2 linked regions of the Alligator mississippiensis genome follow. The protein of the gene in region 1 purifies or fractionates together with the protein of each later gene. This does not show direct contact. Links are inferred from orthologs where the notes say so. Each region holds a gene or a part of one and is shown on either strand. Other genes may lie near its edges. The genes, in order: ATF2 and ATF1.

Evidence for each region.
Region 2: the proteins of ATF2 (region 1) and ATF1 purify together in Homo sapiens (affinity purification with mass spectrometry; 3 studies listed by BioGRID and IntAct, with this or other methods). This does not show direct contact. The link is inferred for Alligator mississippiensis from reciprocal best matches to the Homo sapiens genes ATF2 and ATF1.

The regions. Positions count from the first base shown.
Region 1 is NC_081827.1:209,821,148-209,832,988, forward strand, and holds the start of ATF2 (cyclic AMP-dependent transcription factor ATF-2), read left to right. Parts: upstream 1-6,178; 5' UTR 6,179-6,276; intron 6,277-11,268; 5' UTR 11,269-11,301; intron 11,302-11,841. Other genes in the region: ATP5MC3 (ATP synthase F(0) complex subunit C3, mitochondrial), read left to right, coding at 95-288, 1,917-2,031. UniProt on the Homo sapiens protein: Transcriptional activator which regulates the transcription of various genes, including those involved in anti-apoptosis, cell growth, and DNA damage response.
Region 2 is NC_081838.1:6,160,782-6,172,671, forward strand, and holds the start of ATF1 (cyclic AMP-dependent transcription factor ATF-1), read left to right. Parts: upstream 1-5,786; 5' UTR 5,787-5,801; coding exon 5,802-5,906; intron 5,907-10,649; coding exon 10,650-10,718; coding exon of another isoform or gene 10,719-10,762; intron 10,763-11,890.

The sequences.
Region 1 (11,841 bases):
CACAGTATACCTCAAAATACAGAATACCTCAAAATAAATATGTAAAATATATTGTCTGACTGAACTTTAAATGTCTCTCATGTTTCTTTCTTAGGGTAACTCAATTCTTAATGGGGCGCAGAACACTGTATTGCAACTAGCACTTAGAGAGTTCCAGACTAGTGCTATCAGCAGGGACATTGACACTGCTGCTAAATTTATTGGTGCTGGTGCTGCCACAGTAGGAGTGGCTGGTTCTGGTGCTGGTATTGGAACCGTCTTTGGTAGTCTAATTATTGGTTATGCCAGGTAATTTTTTTTTTTCCTTCTGTGAAAAATACTATGCTTGAAGTGTTGTTGCATTGATACCAGTTGTAGAAGTTCTTTGGTGTAGTAGAGCTTTATCTGAAATGGAACTCCAATATATTGTTCTTAAATAGCTTTTATGATACTCTTGGATAAATGGAATAGTATGTAGTGGCAGTGTATCCAATGAAGCTGGCTCTGAGTCCTGAATTGGTAAGATTCAAACTCTGGTATATGTAGACCTTCAGTGATTACTTAAGGCAAACTGGGCATATCTACACATGTCATTGCACTACAGTGATATAGCATCAGCAGTCACAAACCGGGACATTGAAGTTGTCACCATGGCAACTAAAAATAACTGCGCACATGGCGCAGTATGGGCTGTTACTGTGCCGTCATTTAGTACTTCCAAAAGAAAGTATTAAATGATGGCGCAGTAACAAAGGTGTCATAGGGACATGTGTAGAATGTGGCCACTGACTAGCTAAATCAGACTCTCACTTTTTCAAAGCTGGAATTGGCACTGAAAAGAAACACAAATCTAGACTGAGCGACTTCACATTCTGTAGTGAACACCCAACATTATTAGAGGAACAGATTAGATGATGGATGTTGATATCTAATTTGATTTTATGCCCCTTTCTCCCAATTATCAGGGTTCTTTTAGATGTGGATTCTCACTACAGCTTTGTAGCATATCTTCTACTTAATGTGCCAGCTTCAACATTGTAGCTTTACTGTAGCAATTAGTTCCATAGCAACCAACTGATGTTGGATAGCAGACCTTGCTGCAGAAGCTTGAGAAGAGGAAAATCCTTTAAGAGGGGCAAATCTAATTTTCCCTAGTTATCTAGCAAATGCACAATTGTACCCATGCAGTAATATGTTCAAACTGCAACTGGTAACTGGCAGAAGTGTAAAATGATCTCTAGTTCATGGAGGTACTTCTCGCTCTTGCATCACAACTTGCAGGGTGGTAATCCATTAAAAACTTAAATATTCTCCTTCCCATACTTTCTAGGGAGATACTCTGCATTTTCGTAACAAATGAACCTGATAACGCCATCTTGGCTAGGGAGAGAGTTGAACAGCGTAGCTTGTTTACAAGCTGCTTAAAATATTGCAAAGGTATTCAGGATAGGTCTGGTTGTGCAAATGAACTCCTTCCTGTACTGTACACAAGTGGAATTTAACAAGAAAACCTGAGCTGATATTCCCTACCTGGTGGTTTTCTTTCTCCTGGTGAGCATATTTGACATGAAGCCTACACAGGCTAGGCTTTTTCAGTTGTAATTGAGTGGTGTAAAAATGTTGTGAATTTTTTTAATATAAAAGGGAATTTAGGGTTGTTCTATAATTGGACATTAATTTCAGAATCAAATTTAGTGATATGTAGCTTACATTATCTTAATGTAGTCTTCAATGAAGTGCCTGTAACAGTGATACTAATGTTACCTTTTGTATAGGTGTAGTTTGTCTCTCTTTTTTTGTTTTGTCTGCTATGACACTTTTATAGCGTTCTGTAAAACTTGCATCATAACCACAACTTTTTAAATTTATCAAATGATACTTGAGTTGCATCTTCATAAATATAAAGCATTTAATACCTCTCATGCATTCTCTTTTAGAAACCCTTCTCTGAAGCAGCAGCTGTTCTCATATGCTATCCTGGGATTTGCCCTGTCTGAAGCTATGGGTCTCTTCTGCCTGATGGTTGCTTTCTTAATCCTGTTTGCCATGTGAAGAGAGATCTGCTTGTGATGTTGGCATTAGTAAATTACAAATGTAATTCTGTGCATCTTGCCGGGACTCTCAAAATGTTGGTGTTGTGGAAATGTACATTATTTCCAAAGTCATGTCATTAAAGACTATCTCTAACTGTCTAGCTATGACCTTCATCTTTAATTCGAACACTTTGGATGGAACTGTTAGACACTTGTTTCTGATTTTCCCCTTAACACTGAGTGCTCATATGCTGACCTCCAGCCACACAATGTAGAACAGAACAAAAGTGGTGTTCTCTATTTGGTCACAATGCTGCATGTCACCTTTTTAGTCTAAATGCTGTGTGTCTACCACTTTGGCCTTCAAATCTAAAAGAGATTTCTTAAGTTTATGAAATTTGTAATGACTTCAGATAACACTGAAAGTCCCAAAGAAGGCTCCTAGCTGTTACCAAAACCAGCATTTTCTATTGCTAATCTAACGTCTGATTTAGTGGTTAGTATTGCCATTTTATACATGCTGAGGCTTATTGCACATCTAAGGATCTAAGCAATCTACAAATGACAACATTGCTTCATAGCTGCTACAAAACATGAAGTCAAATTGCTTCAGCGTACAGGCAACAGACAATTTGTTTGTTATGGTGAAGTCAGGGCAATGGTGGAAACTTAACAAGAACAAAAATTCTAGACCCCTTTTTTTGAAATGGGCTCTTTCAGGCTTGGGAGGTTCTTGAACAGTAACTTTGATAATAGCACCAATGTGAAAGAGTTTGATCATATTGCTTTCCTTGCTTAGAACCAGAGGGCCAGATACTTGCAGACTTTCAGAAATGATTGTTTTGAAAGCTCAAAGTATTTGCAGTCACTTGAAGGGTGTAACTTAATGCACATACTGTTCTGCTAACTTTGACCCTCCAAAAACATCTCTTCCTGCCATAATCTAGTCATTCCTGGAGAAAACTACCTGTACAAAGTACACACTAAGTGATGTGTATCATCACATATAAAACACAATTTTCTCTTGGTAGTAAAGCATATAGTTTCCTTTTAATATGGTAGGGGCCTGGGCCTGTATTAAGTTGCATTTGTTTTTCCTTCAATCTTAAATTAATTGGAATGAGTTAAAAACAATCTGCAGGGTTGTGAAATAGCTGCTCCTGCTAATGAAGCTCCTAAGAGAAAGCAGAACAAAGGATAGCTGTCAAGACCATTAAAAAAAGAGTTGTTAACATCTGTTGAATGAAAAGTTTAGAAGGAATCAGGTAGATTATAATAAATCATAAGTCAACTGACTCTCAGCCCTGCCTCAGTGGAAATACTGCTGCCACTAAAGTCAGCTTTAACTTTGGATGGATCCAAATTTCCTCATCCTTTCCTCATTCTTAGTGTTCACTCTCTGCCCTCTTTCTTTCCTGTTCCTTGTTTTCTCCCCATTGCCCTTGAGCATATAGCTACCTTTCCCTTGTCTCAAAATGGCCTAGATTTGAAGGGCATAGTTCATTGTAACTGGTGCTGCAACCCATGTGATAACAACCAGTACCTAACAAGAACACAGTAAGTGTCATACTGGGTTAGGCCAATTATCCATTTAACCCAGTAGCCTGTGTCTGACGGTCACCAAAATGTGTGTGTTGGAACACTGGTTCTCAACTTTTTAGATTTAAGGCACCCCATGTAAGATTTGAGGCATCTCTGCATAACTTTTTTGATTTTATTGGCATCCCACTTCAAAAACTAATTTATTACAGTGCTTACCTCCTTGCAGAGGAGTCAGACAATGGGAATGGTGATGTGGCTATGCAGAGTGATGCCCTTATTTGTTTATCTTCTTACATTTGCAATCTGAGCTTGTCATTACCTGCTTATTTCCTCACACTTTCTGGGGCACCCTTCAAAGGATCTTGTGGCACTCTAGGATGCCCTAGCCCCCTGGTTGACAATCACTGTGTTAAAGGAACAGCACTGAAGTTGGTATATCTAGAACAATCTATCCTATGTGTTACCCTCCTTGGTATCCAGCATCATTGTTTTAAAGATGTTAGAGAATATATCTCTGACTTCTGTTTAAAATAAGATTAATAATTTTAAAACATACTCAATGCCATTCCTTTAGTATTTGGCACTGTGAGGAGGTTTTTTTTAAGCTCTTGGAAGACGGGAAGTATGTAGTTGAAAGACATAAGCTCTCTATTACCTCAGAGTCCAAATCCTTCAAAACTCATTTACAATCAATAATGATTTATTATATAAAGGGCCTGCTTATATAATATGCCCTTTCTCCTAGTATTCCTAATTCTTAAAATAGTTTGAAAAGGACAAATCTGTTGCTTTACCCTCAATACAATTTAAGATATATTCCACGCCCTGGAGTAATGGGGGGGGACAATCTTTTTGACAAGTGTGCCACAAATTAGCCTCACATCTTCCCCAAGTGCTACTTTGCACCCTTTCCCCTCCCTGATCTGCTGCTCTGTTTTCTGTTTCCTGTCCAATCATATAGTTTCATATTTGGTAGGGTCGAAAGGGACCTGAGCAGATCATTAAATCCAACACCCTGCCATGGCAGGAAAAAGTACTTCGTCTAAAAAGGTGCAGGAAAAAGGTGTTCGTCTAACCCCTTAAAGACCCCCAGGGTAGGAGCCAGCACCACTGGAAACTTTGGGGGAAATTTTCCAATGGAAACTTTGGGGGAAATTTCAAAAAACAAAATTATGTAATGGTATTTCATTATTACATTAGATCAAACTCATCTTTTTTTAGACGTGCCAACTGATGTTGCTTATATGGTAGGGGGAGGGGGCATAATGGTACTGATCTCTCCCTTGTGCAGCACTTTGAAATCTACTGATGAGAAACTTGATATAAGATGTACGTTTGCCCAGGGCCCCTTGTCTCTCTCTTGCTTTAAATACATGCACAGCCCCTGCCATGTGGGGAAAGAGATTCTGGACTGAGGGGCACGGGGATCTCTGGTGGGTGGAGCAATTGCAGGTGCAATATTCCAGAAGCCACAAGGAAATCGCAAGCTGTTGTCTTGAGATTGATTGTATTACTGTATCTACCACCCAAAGGGTTTGTCCTAAGTTTTAAATGTATTTTTGTGTTCCTCATAGCTTCCCTATCTGGGGAAAGTAGTTGATGCAATTTGCCAGTGGTAATTGTGTAGATGCCCAGCCCTTGGAAACTTCATTCTATGGAGGGAAATATCATTAATTGGCTGTACAGGTTCAGGAGGCCCAGCAAGACAAAGGTCTGCAAACTAAGCCGTGGCTATAGAAAGGGAGGATAATGTGCACAATGGAACAAGGAGTCTACAAAATTATATGCTGTATCTGCTAGGCAGCTAGGGAGAGGATGGGTAATACCCAACAAGCTTACTCCAGGTATAAACTGTCAATTGTTTTATGTAAAGTTTTCTCTGGCATTGTATTAAACAAATAGGGCAGTACTCTGCTCTGTGAAAGCTGCCTGGTCAGGGGTTGAAGCTGCCGGTGTCCCTGGAAATCTCTGGATTTCCAGGGGCCAAACTGAACTTGGTCACAGGATGGAATTGCCTTAGAACTGCTGGGGGAAGAGGGAAAGGAAGGCAAGTGATGATGGGAGGCCAGAGACCTAAGCTGGGTATCTGGAAAGAGGCCACAAGATTCACAGGTGCAGTTAACACTGGAGAGAAAATACAAAACCTGTGTGATGAGAGAAAAGGGGCACTAGCATAGGTCGAGGGGGAACGGAGGCATAGGGTAGAGAAAGATGCAGCAATCCTTTTGGAGGGAGACGGGAAGGTGGGGATGGCTAGTTAAATAGGAATGGGAGGGTGGGTGATTTTTGGGGGGTGGGAATAAAGGAGCCCCTGCTGTATCTGATGAACTCAACCTCAATCTATCTTTTCAGTACTAAGCCTTAAAGGTTTTTTTGTTTGTTATTTTTAAAAAGCAACGCCTCAAGCACAAAAGGTGCAGTCTTGGTTTCCCATCCACACACTAGCGAGCGCAGTTCCTGCTTAGCTTGCGGCAGCAAACGCGCTGCAGCTCCAGCCACACCCAGTCATTCAGCGCTTCCGGCCACACAGACAAGTCCGGTGTCGCCGCGCGCCCAGCCCCCGCCAGCCAATCGGAGAGGGGCTGGGTTCTCTGCCCATCGCGGTGTCACGTGACCAGCTCCCCTAGCAGCGCTCGGGAGATGTCAGCGAGGTCTCGCGAGATGTGACGGAAGCCTGTGGGGGACCTGGGCTTTAATGTGCGGTTCGGGCCGTGCTCCGGGGGTGAGTTTGTAAACAGAGCGCGGGCCGGGTCGGGCGCGGCAGTGGTGCCTTCGTTCCCGCAGGCGACGGGGAGGCGCGGGCGTTGCAGGGCCCGGTCTGCGGTCGGGGAGCGGCCCCGGGTAGGCGGGGGTGCCCGGGAGGTAGTAATATGGCGCCGCCGCCGCTCTCCGGAGGGGCCCCCTCCCCCACCGCGGGCCCTGCCCCGCCGTCCCCGGGGCAGCGACCGCCCGCGGAGGAGGGTCGCTCGGGGGGGGGCCGGGCCGGGCGAGCCTGTCGCCCCCTACCCGGAAGCGCTGCGGGCCCTGGGGATGGGACGGGCCGGGCCGGGCTTCACCTGCATCCGCCGGGCGGTGGGGGCCTGCGCCCTCCGCGGGAGCCGCCGGGCCGGCCCTGCGGGGGATGCGCCGGTGAGTGTCTTACCTGCCTGGCCCCGACGCCCCGCTACTCTGCGAGGTGTCGCTCTCTTCCGCTCTGCCCGGGGACTTCTTGCAAGAGCTGGGGTCGGCGGCGGGGTGATGACAAGCTGCGGTGCTCCCACGTTGCGGATCTTCCCTCAGGCTTCCTGTGCTGCTGGGCTGGCAAGCTGCGGGGCTGGAGCTGTCACACCTCCTGCCTCCCGTTCCCTTCTTGCCCCAACCTCTTCACCCCCAACCCTGACCCCGAAAGGGACTTGCCCCATTGCACACGGGTGGTTCACTTCTCTGTTCCTCAAGCAGTTCATTCATTTCTGAAATAAAGATATTCTGCTCTTTCTTTGCCCTTCCAGTTAACACACACAAGATTATCTTTGTCCTCTAAATAAATGAGGCTTTTTGGGTGCGGCCTTCGACCTTCCATTAGCCAAATCTTGTTTTTTTCCTTCCCATGCTCCTGTGAATGAATCGTGGCAAGCACCCACTTTATTGCTTCAAGCTATTTGAGTTGAATAAGTTAGGTTGGACTTATCATGTATGTGGCTAATGAAAAATATTGTTGTGATCTGAGTTCTAAATTGTTGTGTTTTAGAGCAGTGATCCTCAACCAGGGCACCATGAGATACTTTTCAAGTTGCCACATACAAGCATGGTTAGATATGCAAGTATCTACAAGTGATTCATAAGCTAAACCTTGAGGTTTTTAAATAAGAATTCGTAGAGCGAGTCCAGCTGTGCATGGAAGTTTGGTAGCGGACCTTGCGCTGCATGCTGCCTGAGCATGTACTGCTTCAAGTTTTTTTCTGGGTTTTTTTGTTTGTTTGTTTTTTTACCCCTGGATATCTAGGGGTCAAAAAAACCCCACAATGAAAAAAAATGGAGCAGCGCACATTCAGGCAGTGCACCCTTGCAGCACAAAGAATGCTGGACTGTATGGTATGTGGTGCTGCAAATGTGCTTGCGGCACCATATACCATATGACTGTGCTCATTTGGATGTACCCATCGTGTCCTAAACGTTTTGGCCTGTTTTGGTCTTTCTCAGTTCTTTGAAATAGAATAATGATTCTGTTTTTCTGGCCTTTTCAAGTAAAGGCTAAGAGCTGACATTTTCAAGGGGTGCTTTGAGTCTAACAAGTTTGAGTGCCACTGCTTTAGAGCATAAATCACTATTTAAATGATGGGATAAGAAAGAAAGCTTCTGTATGGTCATTTTTTCCGTAATTGTTTTCCAGAATATAATATCTTGAACCATTTATTGAAGGATGTTTTGTACAGGTTGTTTAGAGAGACTTACTCACATTTATATGCACTTATGCACCTGCTTAAGGTTACTACTAAGAATAGTCTCATTGATTTTGGTTGAACTAGTCACAGTAGTAAAGCTAAGTACCTATGCGGGTACATAGCATATTACAAAATATAAGGGTCTCGCTGCAACCTGGTCCAAAGAAAACTTTACTGGGGTTCCCTGTTCCATAAAAGTTTATTGGCAAATATGATCATTAATTACAGAAATAACATTAATGAAATAACATTTTTGGAGAAGTGGAGTGAGTCACCATGTTCACTGATGAGTTTATATTTGGGTAGTTAATATTGCACAATAATAGGTCATTATTATAGCCTGATTCAGAGAGCAGTAATATAAACTTCTTGGTGTATTTGTTCTGGATTTTATAGGTGAACTATATCTTCTGAGTACTGTTTCCTACTCAGAAATGCTGTATGATTTGATTATATAAAATCTTTTGGTTGTATTTCCATTTCTACATCTCCGCAGCACATTCTGTGTCTTATAAAGGTTACACTTAGGTAATACTGTATTCTACTGACTTTTGTCATTCAGGTATGATTCAGGTGTGCTTATGCCAAGGTCCTGTTCCATTATAAGACATTAGTCTGTTTTTCTTTGTGTTAATTGCATATGGATACCTAGGCATGGATCCAGAAAGATGCATCTTTCATTCGCACTTGGTGTCGTCTTGGTTTTGATTTTTCTGAGCTCAGCTTGTCCCTACACCACTTTAAAAACATTTAACATGTAAAGTTGCCACAAAAAATTTGCACTGGAACAAGCACTGTGTGGTGTACACAACTCACCTTAAATGTTTGGTCATATTACTTTTACCTGTTTTCCACCACCAATCCTTCCCTGTTGTGGTGACACCCACTTGTTGCATTTTTTTGTAAAGTAGACTCTTAAGTTTTTGTGGGCTAGGACTGCTTTCCTACTTATTTGTACCTCTAGCTCAACAAAACCCAATCTTTACCAGAGATTTTGAATGTTATTCTAGAACTTAATAAATAAGAATGGAAATGATATATATTCTGAAGTACAGACTGTCTTTGTATTAGTGGGATGTTGTTAACCTAGAAATTACAGTTCTTTCAGACATATCTTTATTATTTTCACAGGCAAGATCAAAGATAAATGCAACTAAAATACTAAAGAAATTAGAGGGGTTTTTTTTAGTTTTCTGTTACCAATCTGACAGGTCTTCAAATATAATTAATTCAGTTCCTGCTTTTTCACATAAAAATAAAACAAAAATATGAGTGAAAAGCAGCAAAACAGGACTTGAAAGCAATGGGGTTGTTCCCTCAAACAACTTCTAATTCGTCTTTTTAAAAGTGATTGGATTTCAAACTGTTTGCCTCATAGTTAACTGAAGTACGGATGGGGTATCAATGTATATTCAAATAGGAGATAGAACTTTTAAAGATATCAATTATAGTATAATCATATTAATGTGAGAGAATATTATGAGACTTTTCAAGTTTGTGTCACATTGTTTCCAACAGTATCCTGTGTTAATTTCATTTTAGACTAACATGATTGCACCCTCCATCAGATAGTCCAAGTGACACAGCACATTTTTGGGAAGATTGTTCAAGTGATATTTTTGATTACTTTTTGAAGGACTTTGCCAATCTGTTTTGAAGAATGTAAGCCTCTCCTAGTGTGATGGTTCTATATTGCAGATGTTCAGGAGTGTTTATTTGCATCAAAATGTTACCTATCTCCCCATTTCCAAAAGCAATGGATATATTGAGAAACAAACAAAATGATTTTTTATTCTTGCAGAACTAAATTATTTTTATATTTTCAGACCCTGTTTATCTTTTAGTCTTTATCATAAGTTGATGTCAGTGATTCTAGTAGCTTCAGTAAACAAATGTTCTGAACAAAATTTAATACGTACATTTATTTATTCATCTTTTTCTTTTAATCTCATTTTTGCACCCACTTTCTGTTTCATTTTTGAAACTTTCATTTGTTTGACCTTTTATCTGATTCATAGTTTCAGCTTGATTTTGTTTTTTGCATGAGCATGAGAAGTAAGCCCTTATAATAAGAACAGTAATGGCCTTTCTATTGGTTGTTCACACAGAGACCCTTCATCTTCCTTTTCAGCTCTGTCCCTCTTTTACCAAAGATATATTTTCATTGTTTCTCTGCACATGCCCTAGTCCTTTAGTTTTGCTGCCAGTGCTGGGTTTGGAAGCTGGAGTTTTTTGCACTTGTTCGTTTGATAGGACAAATATTGGTAGGTTCCTTCTTGTGTTTCGACTTGGTAGGCAGAGTAACTAATCACCAGCTTTCAATTTTTTTTCTTCCTGTCCAGCTGCACTCATTCTATAGGCTGACTCCACTGTTTTCCTCAGTTTATCTTTTGCCTCAGCTAGGCAGGTGCCTTTGGCCCTCATGCCTCAGTCAACCGACTGTTAGGCAGAAAATCCTGTGGTTATACGTACCCCGATATCTTCATGCTATTGCATTATTACCTTCCATCTTACTGTTCCCTGTGATCCATTGGAACAGGCACAGGTTTCAAATCTTCTTCCCAGGGCAGGCAAAAAGCTCTCTTGCAGCAAGGCACGTGGTTGCAGCAGCATGCTAGCAGTCTCTGGCTTTCTTTTCCTTCAGGTGGTAAATTCTCTGCCCTCTGCTCACATTTTGTCCGGGCAGTCACTGTTAAATGCTTTGACTTCTTGAGGTAGATAGCTTGTAATGCCGGTCTTCTGAGCACTCTTCATGACAGCTAGTATTTCAAAATTAATCCCATCCACCTCTTCCAGGCTCACAGGCTTCAATGGTCTTTCCTCTGCAGCGGCAGAACCTGGTTCAGAAGATCCACTTGTTTAAGGATTCTGAAACACTAGAGAAATCAGCATTGAAGCCCCCCTCCAATTTCTCCCACAGTCTCAGAGCAGTTCTTCTGTCCTGTGCTGGAAAAAAAAATGCACGGGAGCTAGCTGTTAAAGACCCTGTAGCTGACAGGAGAATAACTGTTGGAAACCAGTAATGATTACTCTGCCTAGTAAATTTGAAATTGAATAAAAATCCTATGGTCAGGTTGTAGAAGTGTAATTAGCAAGTAGTGAAAATCTCCATTTTTCATATATATTTTTAAAAATTCCTGACCACTTCTTTCCACTTTTGTATTTCAAATCTTATGATAGTAAGACACAGCATGTCTCTAGAGTTAGAGGTTTGGACATTCCTTTAATAATGACTTTTTTTTTAAATGGGAAGCAGTAAGTACTTATTTTGTTTCAACTCTTCTGTGTTTTAGGAAACTGAGAAAAGCTGTTCCAGCCTCATCCAGGTCAGTATAGTTGTGACATTTTCTTTAAACTGCAAATACTATTTTTTACTTTTAGTTAAGCAGAATAATTTGTGAGATTTTTCCAGGTACAATCTTATATAATTAAAAAAAATGAAAGTTAAGGCTTTCAGAAGTGCATGGTACTAGTCTAACTTTGTCCTAGAAATTTATAGGAACAGAGATGAACGAAAGCAGAGTTTATTTTAAAAACTTTTTAAAAGTAGATCAGTCATTACGCTCTTAAAGTATATAATGTTGTTCATTTTGTTTTGATTATCTTATTCATCAAAACAGGCATCTTTGTACTAAAGATGAAACTAAAGCAAATGAACTTGGGTGCAAAATATTTTGCTATTGTGTTTTTCACTCTTTTCTAGTCTGCATTATCTGATGATCATACTTGTCATCATAGTCACTTGAATAGTTATTTTGTCATATTTTTAATCTTGGTTTATCTTTTCATGTAAATCACAAAAATCATTGCAGGTAAATAAACCAGGAATTAAATTAATCTTATTTTAAAATGCATTTTCTTTATCG
Region 2 (11,890 bases), on another chromosome or scaffold:
CCCTCCCTACCTCCTGGAGCATGTGTATAAATGCCAGTGTTTGCAATAATTAATTTATTTTTCTTAAAAAATTATATATATAAATGGTATAAACGTGGTTCCATGTTCCTCATTCTTTTTTTTTGTAGAGATAGTAGAGGGTGCATATGTGCAAATCTATTGCCTAAAAGATTAAGGTAGTAGTTTAGAATTATGGCTTGTTTCAAGAAATTAGAACTTAATTTAAAACAAAATTAAAACTGCATATGAAATGTTATACCGTATTTATAAATTTAATCTTAAAATGGGGAACATTTCAAGGGTTGCAAAAGTGGAAGATAATTGTGTTTTAGAGATCACTAGCAGCTATGGTTTTCTAGGACAAAGTGAATACCATACACAATACTTGTTTTATTTCACACCTAACAGATGCTAATCTGTATAGTGTTATAGAGCTGGTCCAAGAGTAGAAGTATCATGAACCTTGCCCGTGACCAGCACTATAAAGATTATTACTCTGGAGTTTGCCTCCTGCTAAGTATAGTGAAATGAGCAAAATGGCAGTGTGCCAAGAGACTTTTCAGTGACCCAAACCACTATTGCGAACCTGGAAATGTGTCAAGAGGTTTTTTCAATTTGACAGCCTTTCTTACCAGCTAATTTTCTGGCTGGAGAGACTTCATTCCTAGCATGTCTTCAAAAATTTGGTTTTGCAGCTGTACCTGTACCTACATGCTCCAGGGAATATGAGGGAAATCTTCAAACTTATTTATGGTTTTTTCACAACAGGACTGTAGCACATAATGGCCAAACCTTGGGTTTCTGCTGGTTTGGTCACTTCGAAGCTGCAATCCAACCTCTGCAGCAACCACATAGCAACAAGCTGATTTATAATTACCTCAAGAGACTAGACATTTCAAAACCCTAATGCTTTCTTCTTAAAACAGAAGAAACTTTTACAATCAAGTTTATATATAAAATGGTAACACAAGGAATATTTTCATACAAGATTTTAATGGAAATCATTACTGTCATGTCAAATGTAAGCCAAAACTTAAGAGACTTTTTGAAAGGAAGAAAATTATTCCCAGTAAAATATTTCCATTGTATTAAAATTTTACTGGAGAATTTTTTAGAAAACAAACCTGCCTCTCTACTAATACAATACCACATAATGTTAGTATAGGAAAATAAAGTTACTCAAAACTGAATAGGTGAAACTGATTAGACATTGATTAGTTTTGAAACTCAGACAATGAAAATGTAAGCATTTCGGTATATCTTGTTAAAGCAAGTGTTTTAAAAAACTACAAAAAATTAAAAGTGGAAAGTGTTCATAAATCAATTCTTGTGAAATGTCTGAATATATTAAATATCAAACTAATATAACTATATAATACAAAAGTGGAAAGATGACGCTCTTCAAGGTTCTGATGACATCAGTATGAGACCTTTGCTGTCATGGCTACCCTGTTATCACTGGAATTCTTTTGATTTGCGCGTAGCTGGAAGCTGTATACTGTGTGGTTTATGTATGTACAAAGTACAAGTCATTTACCCTCTATGCAATGTAACTAAATCTCATTTAAGAGCCTGACTGACACTCATTGAAGTCACTGGAAAGATTCCCACTGACTTCAGTGATTAGTTGGATCACGCTTAGCCTGCTTCCATTACAGTAAATGGCTAAACTCTGACTAGGACCCAAAATGTAGCTGTGAAAGGATCACTGTGAAGAGAAAGGGAACATTACCTGTTAGTACTGTACAGCTTTTACTTGTAGCTCTCATTCACTCCTGAAATATTTGTGTAGATAAAAATGGTAATCTATACTTGCGTTTCATCCTGAGATTATCAAGAACTCTAGCCGAGAGATATTGCAACATTTACACGTTTGATCTTTACTCTTAATGTAAGCTGCAGTTATTATGCGGTGAGGCTAACATTAAACTTTGTCCATTTTCAGTGGTATAACTTTTTATTTTAACCCGTACTGAAATAATGCTAATGTAAAAAAAAACCCCAAAGTAGCACGAATTGCTTAAAATTACATGTTTTATTACAGACACGCAAATATACCAGTCTAATGGACATAAGATATTTTTGCTTTGGTATGTTACGCTAATTAAGCTGTGCTGAGATTGAGTTAACCACTGCTATATATTACATACAAGTTTTGTGACAGTATTCAATGTTTGCTTTATTCATGTCTGTTTTGTACATTGATTCCATTTTTCATATTTCAGTTGCAAAATAAAATTAAATGCTTTTATTCTTGTTTTGACAAGCGATTTCTTGAGTATGAAATGTTGTGAAATTGAGTTGTTCAGAGAGGCTCTCAAAATATAAGGTCTATTTTAATTCTTACCTGTTTGTTTAAATAAGTTCTCTCAACTGGAAGTTTTTCTTTCAGCAACCTGTCAGGCCAGTTGCTGAGGCTTTTCATTCTCTTGTGCAATTTGTTTGCACTGTCTACAGTGCATCAACTGATCTTTATGTAAACAGAAGAAAAGGAACAGTATTGCAGCTTTAAACTAGTAGAACGTTACCTTTTGGGGAAAGTGCAATTTTGAACGCATCAAAAGGCACAATTACAGAGACCATAGAGACTAACCACATGGTAATGTTTAGGTATTATTAGTGTATTGTGTTCTAATTTTCTTTTAGTGAGAAATTTTTTACAGGTATCACTAACAAATTGCAATTATCCATTTGTGAAACATGACTGTTAGAACTGTATAATCCCTTCAAAAAAGGAAATGTATACAAAAATCATTTGTATATTAATGTAAATAAACAGTTGTGCCATATTGCAAATAAAATAATAAATCTGCACTTGGGGGGAAATTTTAAGCACTAACCAAAAGCGATGGCTATAGTTTTTGTTCTCTCTCTAGACCCAGTGTCAGGAATGTTTTTGGGCAGTGCCAAAAAAACCCGCAACCTCAACTTGTAAGAAGTTGCCATGCCAGGGCCAAGTGGCAGCAGGGGGAGCTGGGAGGTGCCTGATCCTTGTGGCAGTGCAGTCCTAGCCCCCTTCCCTGTCATCCATCCCAAGGCACACATGCCAAGCAAAATGCCTTCATGTACCATGCTTTGGTACGCATGCTGAGGGTTGCCTACCCCTATCTAGACTCTTCTGTTGGAATAGTAATCCCTTCCAACTCTGGAATTGAAGTTGCTCAGCAGAATAAGTCTGTCTCCCTCCAGAATGTCAGAAAGGACCTCGTGAAGGTTGGCATAGAATTCCTCCTTGGTTTCAGCAGCAGCATCAAGAGTTGGGACAGATGTGCTGATGGCAGCGGTGCGTTTAAGACAGAGTCATGAGGCAGTCAGTTCCAACATGGAACTTGTTGAGTTGGTTTTTGGGTTCATTCTTAATAGCAAAACCACCTCTGTGAAGTAGGCACTTTTCTTCTTGTTTATCCTTCCAGAAGAGTGTATAGCTGCCTCCTCAATCTTGAGTTGCCCACCTCCCACTCACCACATCTTGCTCATTACAGCTATGTCAATATAGTTCTTGAGTGCAATGTGGTGCTCTAGGCAGACAAGGTTCCTTGGGTGAATTTGATATCTTTTATTAGACCAACTCTAGGCATTCGCTATTAGGATTATCCATGAGGGTCCTGATGGTCAAGCTCAAAATGTATTTAGTGTCTTCACAAATTTTGAACATGGACAACGTACTAGAAACATTTCAAGTCACTAGAGAAGTACCATCAACACTGCCTATGAAAGATCCTTCGAATCCAGTGGGAAGACAGACGTGCCAACATCAGCATCCTCTCGCAAGTGAACACCCCGAGCATTGAGGCGATGATCATCTGACATCATCTTCGCTAAACTGGCCACAATAGCTGGGCGTCCGACTCCAGACTCCCAAAGCAAGTTTTATTTTCCCCAGCTCAGTTGAGACATATGCTGAAGAAGGGAGGGCAAAGAGTGCTTCAAGGACATCCTCAAGGCCAACTTGAAAAAAGTAATATTGACATTAACTTGTGGGATATTATTATCACCCAGGACAGCCCCAAATGAAGGAAGAGTCTGCTGCAGGGATCTCAGTGCTTCGAAGCTGCACACAAACATTTGAAATCATGCAGGAGCTTCCTTATCAGCACCCAAGGAGACATGACTACTGATGGGGAATGAGATGCTGAAGAAAATACCTGACAGCTTAAAAAGGATGTTCCAGCAGCAGAGTCCTTACCACCAGGGGCTCACGAACCATGTCTCAACCGCCTCCGTATCGGAGTCAGATGTTCCAAGGAACTAATGACGAAGCAGGTCTAGACCATTAGTTCAACTGCAGCACAGAGCCTCAGACTGCTTGAAGGCACGTGTATAATGAAAGACCTCATAAAGTACAGTAAATGTGCACAAGCGCATGTAACAACATAGACATATGTGATATAGAGACATAAGTACTTTGAAACCTTACAATGACAGCAGGAGCAGCAAAAACATGGCCTTCCAAGGGAGGCAGTGCTCTCCCCTACCTTGGAGGTCTTCAGGAGGAGACGGGACAAGCACCTGGCTGGGGTCATCCGACCCCAGCACACTTTCCTGCCCACAGCAGGGGGTCGGACTCGATGACCTACTGAGGTCCCTTCTGACCCTAATAACTTTGAAATCAGATCCACCCCCCGGGCACAGAAACATGCCCCCCAAGGTAGGTTGGCCATCATAGAGGACATCTCAGTTTTCTGCTACTTTGTTTTCTACTGATACAAAACCCAACGCCTTTATGTCCTCTATTTTTCTCTTCAAGAGCTATTGATTGATTTTTTTCAAGGGAAAAATAGAGGCCATAAAGGCGTTGGGTTTCGTATTAGTATAGACACCTGGACTGTCCTCTATGATGGCCGTCCTACCCCGAGGTGCAACATAACTTATTGATCCCGGATTGGCCTTGTTGGCCCTCTTCAGACCCGCCGATAAAGCAATCCTCCTCAACGCTGTGGGGTTGCCAATGCTGACGAACAGTACGGGTAATGTACGTGGAAAAGTTTCTGTACCTACCTCTGAAGCGAACAGGAACTCTCTTGCAAACCGGGGCGGCTGTTTAATTTTTCACGACAACGCCGCGCCACTTCGGCAGGAAACCGGCTCCATTTTGTGCGCCCCCAAGAGGCAGGGACGCGGGGCGACGGTCCGCCCGAAGAAAAGCCCGTCCCTCTGCTCGGAAACCCGAACCGTTTTGATTTGAGGATTTTCTTTGTCCCGTGATTTCCTAGAGGCTGCTTTCCCAGCGTTAGACCCCAACGCCTCTCCGGGCCGTGTCCGGCCGGGCCTTCAGCCGAACGCCTGGGTGTCCCCATCCGCCCGCCTCGGGCTGGTGCCCCAGCCCCTGCTTTGAGCTGTTTCTGAACGTCTGGATGCTCTCCTCAGCCGGGCCTAGCAAGGCAGCCACGGGCTACTGTGGGTTGGGGCTTTCCCCTCAAGGCAGGGCTCGCACATGAGCTGCCTCAGAGGGGCGAGGACACCTCAGAGGGGTGACGAGGCTGAGGCGAGGACACCTCAGAGGGGTGAGGGCGAGGAGGCTGAGGCGAGAACACCTCAAAGTGGCGAGGAGACTGAGACTGAGGCGAAGCCGCACCCGCAGCTTCCTCAGGGGAACGAGACGCTTTCCCGCCCTCGGAGCCAACATGGCGGCCGCCCGCTGCGACGCTCTAGCCTCGGCCTCCTGGCAGAACTCGCCTGCTCCGCCTCCCACGCTGGGAGGGAGCCGCTCTAGCCGGCTCCTCCGTGACGCGCCCTCGAGAACTCTATGGTATGCGCTCTACGCCAGGCAGCACGTCTAGCCCGGGCCTCCGAGGGACTCGATGGTCGCGGCCCGCCCACCGCGGAGTCCCGGCCGGGCCTGCGGCGCGGACGATGCCGGCGGCGCCGGGCTGCTGAGGCGGCGCCAGGGCCGCGGGGCTCGCGAGGTAAGCCTCGGCCGGCCCCACCAGCCGCCGTGTCCGCGCCCCGGGCGCCCGCGGCCTTGTCCGGCGCTGTGCCCGGCCCGGGGCACGTGCGGGTGGTTCCTGAAGTGGGGGGGCGTCGCGCCACAGACCCCGGTGCGCGGGCGCGGGGGGCAGCCGTGTTTGCGCCCCGCCAGGCCTGAGGGGGCCGGGGCGCTTCGCGTCGGGGCGTAAAGCGCCCCAGGGATCTGGTTCGTCCGCCTCCACGTGCAGTTTGGGTGGGAAAATCTGTAACGAGGAGCAGGCCGGGCTTACTCGCCCACCGGCTTCGTGGTCAGGAACACGGTAGGTCGGCGTCGCCCGCCGCTCCCAGGTTTGCCGTCGCGTCGCTTGGTTCGTTTCTTGGACCTTAAAAAAAAAAAAAAAAAAGGAAAAGTCCCTCCTCTCTTGTCGGGATTACGGATCGCGCAGGCATTCGGGCGGCCGCAAGACCGTCGGGTCCCCCAGGGGCAGGAAGTCGGCCGGGCGCGAAGGATCGGACTCGAGCTAGTCGGTCGAGCCGAAAATCGGTGACGTCTGCGATCCCGCCGAGACGAGCGTCCAAACGTTTCTTGGACGTGTCCGGAGTAGGCGCTTGCACCGCGTCCGTGGGCAGGCTCGGACGGTGAAGATGTTTGTCCTTACGTCCGGCCTAAAAATGGTCTTGCAGGAGTTGGCGAGCGTCCCCGCGGTGAGGAGACGTCCCCCAGCTCCTTGATGTCCTTGGTATTAATCGATACACAACAAGTAAATGCACAAAGTGACTCGTTTTCCAGCGAGCTGTGTCGTATGTTGCTAGCGCCACGCTTGTAGGTGGGCCGTTTTCAATGCTCTGTTTTAAATGTGAGGATGCTCGTTTTAATATAATCCTTTTTTCTTTTTCTTTTTTTTTTTTTGGTGGCTAAGCCTTAAAGACCCGGGTCTAGAAATGGCTTACGAATCGTCAAGAGACAAGGTTTTTGTGGGGTCGTCATCCAAATTCTGGCATCGCTTCTTCTGGGTATACCCAGGGGCTCCCTTAAAAAGTTGCTCTGTGGCTAGAGCATTATGTCTTGTTTCTCCAAGTGGGAAACCCTCCCTCCACATAAATGTTGGTCTGTTACTCGGAGATAAGGAAAAGTACTCCGTTGTGATTCGTGCTGTCTGCTTTTTGCTCAAAGGTTGGCTGTGTCCTTGGGGTGGAAACTGTTGTGCTGCCTCTTCTGCAGCGTTCTTGTGCTCACTTTTTTTTTTGCAGCATGTTCCCAAAGGTGCTGGTTGTTTCATTGTTTCCTGGGGTTTGTTCTCTTTCCTCCCCCCACTTCATTGCAGCCATCGACTGTCTCTTCTCTTGTTCTTAAATCATAATGCCCTCAGTAGAGGAACTGTCTTTCTTTAAGGAGTGGAAGGGTTGCTTATTATTAAGCACTGGACCAGGACTGGGAAACCTGGGTACTATTCCTGTTTCTGCCTCTTGTGTGTTGGGAGGCCTTGGGCAAGTCCTGTCACCCCCCTGCCTCTGTTTCCCCATCTGTAAAAAGGAGATGATGCCAGTGACCTCCTTTTGAGATCTGTTGATAAAAAGTACTGTGCGTGATTTGAGTAGTGGCATTTTTATTATTTTATACATGTCAGAGCCAGGGGCCTGAGCTCTAAGCACGGCTCTTAGACCCATCTGTTACATATTGAAGGAAGATTCTTTGCTAGCTTCCTGGCTTGTATTTCCAGGACTCCTTCTCATATTGCATATGCTTTTCACAGATTTCCAGGAAGCTGTAGGTCAGCTTTCATTTGAGTTTCTTCCCAGTTGCTGTCTATTGGATGTACAGTCTCCTGAAGTATCCAGTATTCAAGTAACATGTATAAGACTTTAACAGCCTTTGCCTGTGGAAAAGGGACTTTCCTGTTGAGGTTTCTGCTGGGGTTTTGGGAATGTTTTTCCTTAAAACCGTCTCATGTCTGCAGTATAACATCATTAGAATTAACCAAATTAGTGCAGTACATTTATACAAAACTCATACTTGAATCCCTTTTAATGTTGTCATTCAGTATTTAAAACTATCCTGGTAAGACCAGTAGCAGATTTGACTTGGGAGAAACTTTGAGATCTTTAAAAATTGATCAGCTTCTTCAGATATTTCAAAATCCAGTAGTTGGAATCCTCAGGCAGGACGCTTTGTACCTGAACGCTTGTCTAATATCTTTCCCAACTATATGGTTGGTTCAGTAAAAGATGTTACCAAAGAAACCTTGCTTCTTGCATAGACCCTGAACCTGTCACGGCCACAACAAAACTCCTACCATAATGCAGAAATGAGTTTGAAAGATTGGTTCTTTGGAGCAGATGTGTTCTGCACAGTGCTTGGATTTCAGAGTCGGTTCATTTAGACTAAGATCCTCAAGGAAGTTTTTTCTTTTTTTGTAAATGGTCATCCCTACCTACAGTATTATAAAAATAACTAATTATTTGTCTTAAGCATCAGTCCTCTGGACAGTGCCAATCACTGCAGCGAATTCCCTACTTCCAGCTTTCCGTGTTCCATGAAAAACTTTTCCTTCATCCCGAAACTATGTAGTTGGCTTCCTCCAAACAAATGTTTTATTGTTGTTGGAAGTAGTTGTGGCTGTGGTGTTAAAAGCTGAAATGCTAGTAAATTTTCCCTACTCAGTATGCAAATCATTCTTTGGCTGAAAACTTGTGGCTTGAGGTTGTTAATTAGAACTGTTTTTCACCCTTGAGAGTAAAGGTCTTACTGAATGCTGAATAGGTAGAAACCGCTGTCTTTTAAAAATATTATTAGAAATATCTTCCGCAAAAAGCAATATGTTTTCCAGACAGATAATCTGCTTTAGCAAAGCAGAGACCTCTAGAATTTGTTGCACGTCACTGGGTAGTATATTGTGCTTCCTTATCCTGTGGAGGATGCAAGTGCCACAAATCAAATACACAATAATAGTTGTTTGCTTGTTAAAATAGTTTGCTGTTTCTTTTCATTATTGACAGTTGTTAGATAAGCGCTTTTAAGTGCTATCTGAAATTAGAGAGACAGTCAACTTAAAAGTCATTTTTCTGGCTAAAAATACAAAGGTAACACCCAACAAGAGCAAAAACGCCTTGCTATATTTTTTTAGTGAACTCTTGAGCATTTCAGATTGACTTTGTTTTTATTCCATTTAATTGTTTAGTTAGAGTTAGTTTGTCTGTGTTGCAGCAATTCATACAACAACAGGACAGAGTGTTTCAAAATAAGAAATGATGTCTTGAAAACTAAAGGAATTTACTTGGGGTTTTCTGGAGTGCCAGAAATTACTTTTAGTGTTTTTGCATTTGACTCAATTTCAGTGTGATGGTTTCCTATTAGCAAAGTGGCACGGTGTAGCTGAACAGAAATGCAAACTGCATGTTTTTGTTCTATAAGAGTAGAACTGATTTTTACCACTTCTTTCATATCCCCTTGTTTTGTGCATTTTGTTAGGACTCAAATAAAAAAGGGTTCACGGCGCTGCCTGCGTGTCTATAAACTGTCTTACATTTTTGGAAGGTTCCAGTTGTCTCTCAGCGGTGTCAGATTTGACCAATTCTTAGTTTCTCTTTTGAAGGTGCTGTTTCACACATCTTACTTACTGTTCCCCTCTCATCAGTTTTCTCATTGCCGAGCCTGATCTTGCAACTTTACTGAAGTGAGTTCTGTTGACTTCAGTGCAATTTCCCCAGATGAGTAAGGATTGCGAGAGCAGGCCTCTAGACTTCACACTTACTGACTTTTTACCCTCTGCGTGTACGTCAAGCTGCAAGAGCTGTGGTTGATCTCAGTAGGGAAAAATCAATGACTCACGTTTCCACAGAGAGAAATGTAATTTCCAGTCTCATAGCAACTGCCCTTGCAACTGTTTCAAACCTTGTGTGACAAAACATGTAATGCTTACAGATCATCTTTTAATGCCTCCATCCAGTCTGCCTGCTCACCCCATCCAAACATATGCATTTTACATTACACAAAAGCTGCTGATTTACAGCTTTTACATTAAAATTATGTTGGATGGTTAAGTATAAACAGTGAAAAATCTGAGGAGGGTGCCCTTGACTTCTGAATATACAGATCTGGTTAATTTTTTTTTATGATCTTAAAAGTATTACATTTTGTGTACTGAATATGCTCTTACACTTGGAGAACAATGCTGAATGTTTTATGACAGTTTTCAGTGATAGTTCAATAAATAGATTGTAAAATCTAGTGTCTGCTTTCTGCTGCTTTGCATCCAGAGATGCAAAGGAATTAAAAGGTAGGCGCATAATCTTCCTTTCACTTAATGGATAGATCTGAATTGGTCCTGAAAAAGTTGAACTGCAGAAAGGTTAAGGCTTCAGAGGCTTAGCACAGCACTGAGAGGCAGCATCATGGGGTGGTATTCTGGCTTTTCCACTGATTCAGTCTGTGGGTTTGGGCAGCTTGCTAACATGTCTGTTTTTTGTTTTCCCCATATGTAAAAGGGGAGGAAAACACCTAAGTATGTCAAAGGAGGATTGTGAGGCTTCATGAAAAGTGCTTCCTTATCTTCTGGTGGAAGCTGCTGTAGAAGTATTAAGTAGCAGTATTAATTATGGCTGGGACTTTCAGTTAAGCTTGACAGAGCGAAGCATCCCAATCCTATTGAAAGTTAATGGAGGTAGGGGACCTCACTCCCTTTGAAACTTCCAACTTATATTTTATCCATAACTGAATTGATTCCTTATTTATTTTCTTGTAGTTGATATGGAGGAAGTGCACAAGAGCAGCAGTAACAGTTCAGCGACACCTCCACAAACCACTGTACAAGGTACAACACTACAGGCAACTCACCTCTCTCACGTTGCTCAACAGGTAAAGCAAGGGCCAGGCTACAGCAAATATTTCTTAAGAATTAGGTTAAGAGCAATCTTTTGTTTTTAAGCTAAGTGGTTTGATAGGGGGGTTTTTTTCTTTACATACTCAGGGAGGAAGAAGACAAGCAAGTAGAATTGTGAGAAGCATGCCGGTCGTTTTTTTCAATAGACTCCACAGAATGAATATCCTTGTACCTTATACCATTTCAGTGCTGAAAATTTGTAGCCATTTTTTCTTGTTAGGTTTTAAATATTCAGAAATGTTCACCCAGCCAATCACTGAGGTAGCTCAGCAATATGCAGAGGGCATTTGCAGCTCCCGTGAACATCAACCAGAGATATGGGCACACAGAACATCTAAAGCACTTTTTATTTTGAAGCATTTGGGCAATGTCTGTGTTTTCTCCTTGCTGAGCCCAGGATCATTTTTAAGACACAAGCCCTGCCCACTAGTTCTCACTCTGCTTGTGCCTGATGCCAGCATTTAAACAGAGTAGGTGGCTTTTAGGGTCCTAAGTGTGTACCGCACTGCCTCTGCAAGCAGAGAAGTAATGTACATGTGGCTTAGGAGTGGAGTAAATACAGTTGGTTTGAGATTTTGTCTACAAATGATCTCTTATATCCCCATTGAATCTTCTTTAGTAAAACTAATAAGTGGAAGACTGGGAATGTTGTCTTTGTCCTTGACAGCTTTTTCCTAAAGTACAGTAACAGCATTTTAAGAACTCATTTAAAGTGAATGGCATGTTTCGGACCATTTTATCTAGAAAAAAAAATGTTCCTGGAGAAAGTCTGCTCTTCCTTTCCTGTCTGCAAATTGGTGCTGTTTTGTAGTTTACCTTCTATGTGCAGTTCAGATTTTAATGAGAAATTTAGATATAATTTGAGGCAATAGGTGAGTAGTGAACATGAGCGAACAGATTGCAAGCAGGTAGCAAAATATTTATGTGCATGTAGGATGACTACAATAATTTCACATTTTGACTTGAGAGAACAAACTAGCATTTAAAAGGAAGTTAGACCACTGTATGAGTATATTCTTTTTCTTTTGAGAGAGAGAGTTTTGGTTCTGATGATGCCTTCATCTTTTCTAAAACAAATAGTACAGGTATATCTGCATTTTCTC